2 linked regions of the Drosophila melanogaster genome follow. Changing the gene in region 1 together with any one later gene gives a genetic interaction. Each region holds a gene or a part of one and is shown on either strand. Other genes may lie near its edges. The genes, in order: key and Diedel.

Region 1 (4,341 bases):
CCGCCGTCGGAGGCCTCCCAGTGAACCAGTGCAAGCACAACCTGCTCGGTTACGGGTCCGCCAAGCTGCAGACGCTCTCCGACGTACAGCTGGAGGCACTAGATCCGTATCAGCGCGATGCCAACGAGCTGAGTAAGTGCCTCTATCTGCGTGGGAGAATGATTGATTTCCGCGTCAGAACTTCCGCAGTGCGCAGTCGCGACGTGCTCGACGTGAGCTCTAAATCTCGGTGTCGATCTAATCGCTCTTTTCTTCCGCAGTCTGGTCATCGATTATGGGGGACCATCCGAGCGGAGCCAGCCTGGTGACAACGAGGCAGCCGCTCCAACAGCCCCTGCCAACTCCTCCTGCGTCCTCTCTGATCATCCTAACGCGCCAGCAACTTCCGCACGGAGCATCCCATGCCCACCCCATCCAGAGCTCCGGCTCCGCCACCAATCCAATCTTCGAGAGCGGCGAGCAGAAGCACAAATACGCCATGGACATGGACAAGGCCTACGGCTACGGGCCGCAGTCCAGCAGTGAGCTCCCAATGGCCGCCGCACTGACTTCAGAACCGTCCAAAAGATTCCTCACCGGACCTTTGGTGATCCGGGTGCGACCCGATGGCTCCCCGGTGGAGGAGGACAAGATGATGCCACTGCCGCGGGACGAAGACCTGCCCTACTTTCATCTTGGTCTGGCCGCCGCTCAGCCCAACAGGCACCGCAAGATCGCCACAATCAGCTCCTTAAAGCAGCAGCACTTCGCCTCTATCCTGCAGAGCGACCTCCAGCCACCCCACCAGACGCAGAGGCGTCTGTTCCGCCAGCAACAGGCGTAAGATCGCGGTCAGAGGATCCGCAGGCCTAGACCTAAGTCCTTGTGTGAATGTGATAGAGCAGATGAGGAGATCCTGCATCATAGAGTGCGAGAGTGAACGTGTGAGTCTTCTAGTTGTAGCCGTTTGAGGAGTTTTCTTGAATGCACTTGAGCTTTAATGGAATTTCGTATCGTATTCGTTTAAGTTTTTTTAATTTTATTTATTCGCGTGCATTAGTCGTAAGATCACATAGAGATTCTTGAGTAATAAACCGCATGATGATTATCATTGTTACGAACGTATTAATTCTAAAATGTGTGGATTGGGATGGAAATGAGGATGGGGATGCGGTCTGTGCACATAGCCAGGAACCGGTTGGTTATGGTAATACGAAAGTCGCATCTCGGCCAGCCACCAGTTCCTTGTCGCGAGCTCCACTCACACCTATATTTAACACGCGAAAGCCTTATTAACCCACATCTACAGAGTTGAGCCGAACAATGGAGGTACTGAATCCGGTTTGGCGGGTTCAGAACGCACTGCGCCGTCCATTAGAATTTGCGAGTTTTGGCAATTACATTTCGGTGTAATTTCGCTGGCAACTGGTTTGTCAGGCTCAGGCCTTTAGGACGCGCCCATTAATCTCAGCTGAGCAACAAAGGAAGGTAAATTGGGATGCACGTCACTGGGCTTGAATAAATGATGCCGGGACTTTCCACCGCCCTTGCAGTGCAAACTGCACTTCATATGCACGAGTTTTGGGCGTGTAATCAGTTTTATTGAAATTAGCTGCTTTTAAATTTAGATAGACGAGCTCGCCGATTGTCGATAACATTTCCGATTATGACAATATGACAATCAATGACACAAAAAAAGGCACATTTGAAACGATTGCGGTCACACTGGTCTAAGTTGTTTGGTAAATTAGTTAAAAGTAAATATTACTCCGAAAACAATTTTATTTCCTTAAAGCTTGTCAGCAAAGCAAAACGAGATAAGGAACGCAGTAGTATATAAGGTATATATGCAATAAACATGACAATTGCTTATTCCATTGTGACGCGTCGATGTAATTCCCACGCCTAATGAATCATTGCCCTAAAACTCATTTATTATACATTTATCCTTACTATTGCCGATATCAAATTAATCGATTTGGCTAATACTTTGCCGTCTAGTTTTCGAAAGAGGGGAATTCCCTCACCTGCGTTCACAGTCGTAAAATCTGATTATTAATACCCGCCATTGCTACCGCGACAACGGAGACATGTCGGACGAAGAGTCATTCGTTATCTTGGGTAGCTCGCCGTGCTCCTCGCTCATGCCGGACAGTTCCTTGCGGTCCGACGTATGTGGTAACGCGCAGGAGGCGAAGGAAACCGTTGCCTCTACGAGCACTCAGCCGCCAACAGTGAACTGTATTCCAGTCAGCATCACTGCATCGCAGCAGCAGCACAAATCGCTGGATTCCGGATCTTCCCAGCAACAATCCCTGGCGACCAGCTTCATTATGGGAGAAATTCAATCCGATGTCCTGAAGGTGAGCGTCTGGTTACCGTCTGGTCTGTTTAAATTCTAACAACAGTCTCTAAATCCAACCACAGAACAGTGTTTATTCGCAGTTTCCCAGCCTCTGCTCGTTGCAGGGCTCCGCAGAGGAAGTAGTTAAGCTGCAGAACATGATGACCGAGTACCTCGCGCTAAAGAGTGAGCATTTTTTTCCCGTAAAGTAATATACAGCAATAATATGCCATTATCCGGCCAGGCACACTTGACAAGGTCAACCAAACCATGCTGAACTACCACAACCTGACTCAACAATGGCGCCAGGAAGCCGCCGACCGAGAACACCAGTACAAGGAGCATGTGAAAGAGTGCCAAGCGCAAATCGCGATCCTTCGCGTGGAAAACCAAGAGCTGAAGAGGGACCTAGAGACGAAAATCGAGCAGATTGAAGGGGTTCATACCATCAGGCTAAAGGAGCAGGATGAGCTTCGTAAGAGCGTATCTGAGAAACAGTCCCTGATCGACAACATGCGCGTGGAGATTGACAAACTGAAACAGCTAAATGTATGTCTACCAGTTGCTCCAAGCGATAGGGCAAATACTTGCATACAGACTCGCAATCATTGCTATTCTGCATTGTAAACTGGACAGTATCTCTTTAAAATATTCTCTTCCGGGCTCGCACCCTTTTTCTTCTGTTATTTCAGCACTCGTTTGAGTTCGTACCAGAGTATGCAACCGAATCAAAATCCCAGGAGCTGATAAAGAAAATGCAGCTGGATATTAACGAGCTGAAGGCCAGGGACATCCAGAAGCAGGAGGTGATCAAAGGTCTACAGATCCAAAACGATATCTACCGCAGGGACTTTGAAATGGAGCGGGCAGATCGCGAGAAGAATGCCGGAGAGAAAGATCAGTATCTTATGGACTTGCGATCATTGCAGAGGAGGAACCAGGAGCTTATCGAAGCTCTGGCCGAGTCCCACAAGGCAAGCAAGGCGTGCTCGACCGCTTCTCCGCTGAGTTCAAGCAGAAGCAATTTGCGAGAGGAGCAGAGACCAGTAAGAGTACGCTGATTCCAAAGTCCATAAATGTCAATACTAATTTTTGTATCGGTAGATTCTCGACCCAACAGGCGCCTCATCCCGGACTTCAGACACCACTTTGCGATGTCCGATCTGTTCAAAGTCCTTTAACGCCTTAAGCGTGCTTCAGAGTCACGTTAACGATTGTTTGGATAAAAACTAAGCACAATTTCTTACCATATTAATAAATTTATATATATATATATATTTTCTTTTTTTACAATATCTTGTTTAATCTTAAAAGCCTGGCTAACCGGCCATATTATATAAAAACACTAATTACAGTTTCGTTAACAATGAACAATGCACGAGTCTCCTCAGAGTTTGCTGCGAATGGGGGGCATTTCCAGAGACCACACGCGGTGTACATCTGGACTGGCTACCAGGTTGCTAAGCACATTTAAGTCTGCAAAGAATTAAGATAAGCTAGAAACCATCGATTCGACATTCTGCTCACCGTTGGTGCGTGCAAACTGCTGCAACGTGTTGCGGATATCACAAATTGGAATGGCTGTATTTATGTTTGGGTAGACGACGTCGTCTAATTTAATGTTGGACACACAAACGCCTAGGATGCATCCATTCTGGTCGAACATCGGTCCTCCACTTTGGCCCGCCTGCACGCTGCCATCGGACATAATGGCCCCGGTGTCGCACTTGATGACCCTCCCTTGAAAAATCGAAGGGTTGAAGTCGTGCCTGAAGCTGAAGTTAACGTAGTAGGGAAACCCGGCGTTGTACACCATTTGCCCGACGGTGGCCGGACTCCTGGCCAGTCGCACGCAGCATTGCTCCGGCACATCCTGCGGAGCTGTGAGTAGAGCCAAGTCGAAGGGCTTATCGCTGTCCGGATTGCACCAAATCACCTCAGACTGGAACTCGCGATCGGCAGCACGGCAATTAACAGTCTCAATGTTCTGCGTGAAAGACATTATTTAGTGCGCCAAG
Region 2 (3,006 bases), on another chromosome or scaffold:
GCGCCCGTAGCGTCGCCGCTCGTACGACACGCTCTCCACCAGATAGTCCATGAAGTCGAAGACGGCGGCGCACGAGAGCCGCGACTTGATCACGGGCACAATGTTGCCCACGCCCTGGATCTCCTTCAGCAGCGACTCCCTGTACTGCTTGCAAGTCACCTCGAAGCCATCCGTGAACACGGCCGAGTAGACCAGTTGGTAGACGGCCATTATTGTCGAGATGACGGTGGCGGGCAGCCCTAAATTAGTTAAGTATTACACATTTGTACATAGTTAAGTTCGGAGACGATGGACACTCACAGTAGTAGGGCGAGAGACCATCGGGCGTGAGTTCCGACTCGGTGGTCACCACGATCATGTCACCGGAGCTGCAAGCAGAGAGCAGAGAGGCGTAAGCAAACAGTTGATGCTGCTCCAAGTTGGAGCCCATGATGGCATTACTCATAGCCAGACAGACGAACGAGTGTGGCTGGCCGATTAACCCCATTGACCCGCCGACACTCGATCGCGATCGCCCGCTCTTACCGCTGACGGATGGTGGCCGTGCCCGCCTTGGGCTTGCCCCGACCGATGCACATGCGGTAGCCGTGGTAGACGCCCAGGACGACGGCGAAGAGCAGCGGCAGCAGCAGGCCGTAGGTGGCGAAGTGGCAGTAGGCGACGTTGCCGCCCTCGAAGCTGTGGAACGTGCTCTTGCCGTGCAGCACGCAGCCGCAATTGGTGTCCGGGCAGGCATTGAGCACGTACTGCCAGTGTGTCCAGGCCACCGCCGAGGTGATGCAGCAGACCAGCGATGAAACGATGGCCAGCGGGTAGAGTAGGGACAGGGCTCGCTCCGCGTAGTACGACATCGTGCGAATGGTATCTGCTCGCAGGAGTATCTGAAATAAGCGGACAAGTGAATAGTGAATAGAATATGGGTATCTTTGATCCCCAGCCAGGTCAAGTTGATCTTAATTCAACTTTAAAGTACTTATGGTAATGGGCAGTCAAGTTAATTAATTGGCCACTTTTCGAGCGCTCTAATTGCTCATCTAATTGTAATTATGCCCAATTCGTTCAAGATGATTGCTTAAACGCAATTGTGGGTTTCGTTTTACATTTCCTCAAATGGAGAAAGAACATTATTACTAGCTGTTCAAATTTAACAGCAATTTTGAGTTTGTAACGAAGCTTTTTTCTAAGAAGTTACTAACAATTGTTAGCTTATCTGATTAGTTTAAAAAACTCCTTTTTTTGACGATAGTGAGCATCTCTTGAAATTTAAAATCGATAACTTTGCAACAACAACAACTCTTTGGGCGTCCCTTAACACACACACACACTGTCGCACCTGCCCAAACACACACACATAGAACAGGTTGCAACGCGCACTGTACCAGATATAAACAAACTATAATGTTTGCAGCTACCACTTTCGATGTCCCTTTAAGCAGCTGAATTTCGGTTGCGCAAAGCGTTTAGTTGTTCGCTAATGCTGTTTCTATATCACATTTCTCACAGAATTCAGGGATAAACAGGAAAACTGCACTGCTGACACATACACGCACACAGGCGCACTGCAGGCACACCTACGTTTATCGATATCGATAGGCGGGCGACCGAAGAAGCGACCGAACGGTTGAGCGGCGAAGAAACGACTGAACGACCGTCGTTTCGCCACTGCGTTCTGATCAGAACGGGCCGCTAGTGCTAACGCTTTTAGCCGTCTGGCAACGCCGATCACCAAAATTCAAATGGGATTTCCGTTACAAGTGATCTGTGTTTAAAATTTTATTTTTGATTATTACAAGTTTTATTTAAACTAAAGCGCAGTAACTAGACAGTATTTCATGACTATGTGTTTGAGTTATGTTAGAAGTAAATTTCCCGAGAACTGGGCCTAATCAATTTTCCTAATAACTTGGAGCGCATTTGCCAACTAAGCGAATTCCCTGCACCCACTGTGAGCGTATAAAATCGCTGTTTGCCGGGGTGAAAAGCATTAGTTCTCCCAGTAAATCCAATCATGGCATCCCCAGTAGTCAGCCTGCTTCTCGTCGGGATCTGCGCCCTGGCCTTTGTCCATGTGGCTCGGTCGGAATGCTGCACCTCCCGGGAGCTGGTGGAATTCAAGATGGACAGAGGCGACTGCGAGGCTGTGCGTGCAATCGAAAACTATCCCAACGGCTGCGAAGTGACGATCTGCGCCGATGGTGTTGCCCAGTTGGGCGCCTACTGCGGCCAGGGATCGTGCAACATCTTCGGCTGCAACTGCGACGGCGGCTGTCTGAGCGGCGATTGGTCACAGGAATTTGTGAGGAGGAACCAGCAGTACGGAATCCAGATCATCAAAGTCACCAGGCTGCCATTTTAACCCCTTGCATCACATAAACAATAAAGAGAAGCTTTAATTGCATCCAGAAATTACTAATTAATTATGTGTATTTTATTTTATATATGCATGAAATTGATAAGGTTCCCACTTTCTAATCAAATGTAAACAGTTCAATCTGATTACTAGGAACTATTCTTATTTTTAATCTTGAATTCCATTAATTACGCTATTAACTAAAACTATTATACTAAAAAAAAAACAACTATCATCAAAATCTGAGATGATATGGGCTAATTTTTGAATAAAATCCAGTGCTCAAATCATAAGAAGTGATTTTTTGTAGTTTCTAGCATTTGTAATATCTGTTTCCCAACGATCGACCACGCCCCCTGGGCAACCGCCCCTCTGTTGGCCGCTCGCCATGGGAAAAGCAAATGACGCCTGCACTCGCAGAGATCGCCCCGAATAACCCCTCCATATCCACAGATCCACAGATCCCCAGATGCCCATGTAGCCATGTACTCCGCATGTAGTACGATCAACTAGCCGAGTGAATTTTGGCATAAACCATTTTCCGCGGACGCCTGATTTTCTCAGTTTTCTCAGAGTTGTGGAGCCGTCGAGAACGCGGAGCATTCGCCCATGTAAAGCCGCAGAATCCGTCGATTTTCGCCGGAATTTATCAATCC

What was found.
Region 2: of key (region 1) and Diedel, changing one suppresses a phenotype caused by changing the other (phenotypic suppression), as found in Drosophila melanogaster (one study listed by BioGRID).

The regions. Positions count from the first base shown.
Region 1 is NT_033778.4:24,784,770-24,789,110, reverse strand, and holds key (kenny), read left to right. Parts: upstream 1-1,699; 5' UTR 1,700-1,820; intron 1,821-1,980; 5' UTR 1,981-2,069; coding exon 2,070-2,342; intron 2,343-2,406; coding exon 2,407-2,509; intron 2,510-2,567; coding exon 2,568-2,872; intron 2,873-3,015; coding exon 3,016-3,375; intron 3,376-3,427; coding exon 3,428-3,556; 3' UTR 3,557-3,597; downstream 3,598-4,341. Other genes in the region: Reg-5 (rhythmically expressed gene 5), read left to right, coding at 1-132, 261-823; CG3589 (uncharacterized protein), read right to left, coding at 3,711-3,799, 3,851-4,310.
Region 2 is NT_033777.3:29,491,871-29,494,876, forward strand, and holds Diedel (diedel), read left to right. Parts: upstream 1-1,981; 5' UTR 1,982-2,008; coding exon 2,009-2,356; 3' UTR 2,357-2,397; downstream 2,398-3,006. Other genes in the region: CG2310 (uncharacterized protein), read right to left, coding at 1-239, 301-368, 526-851.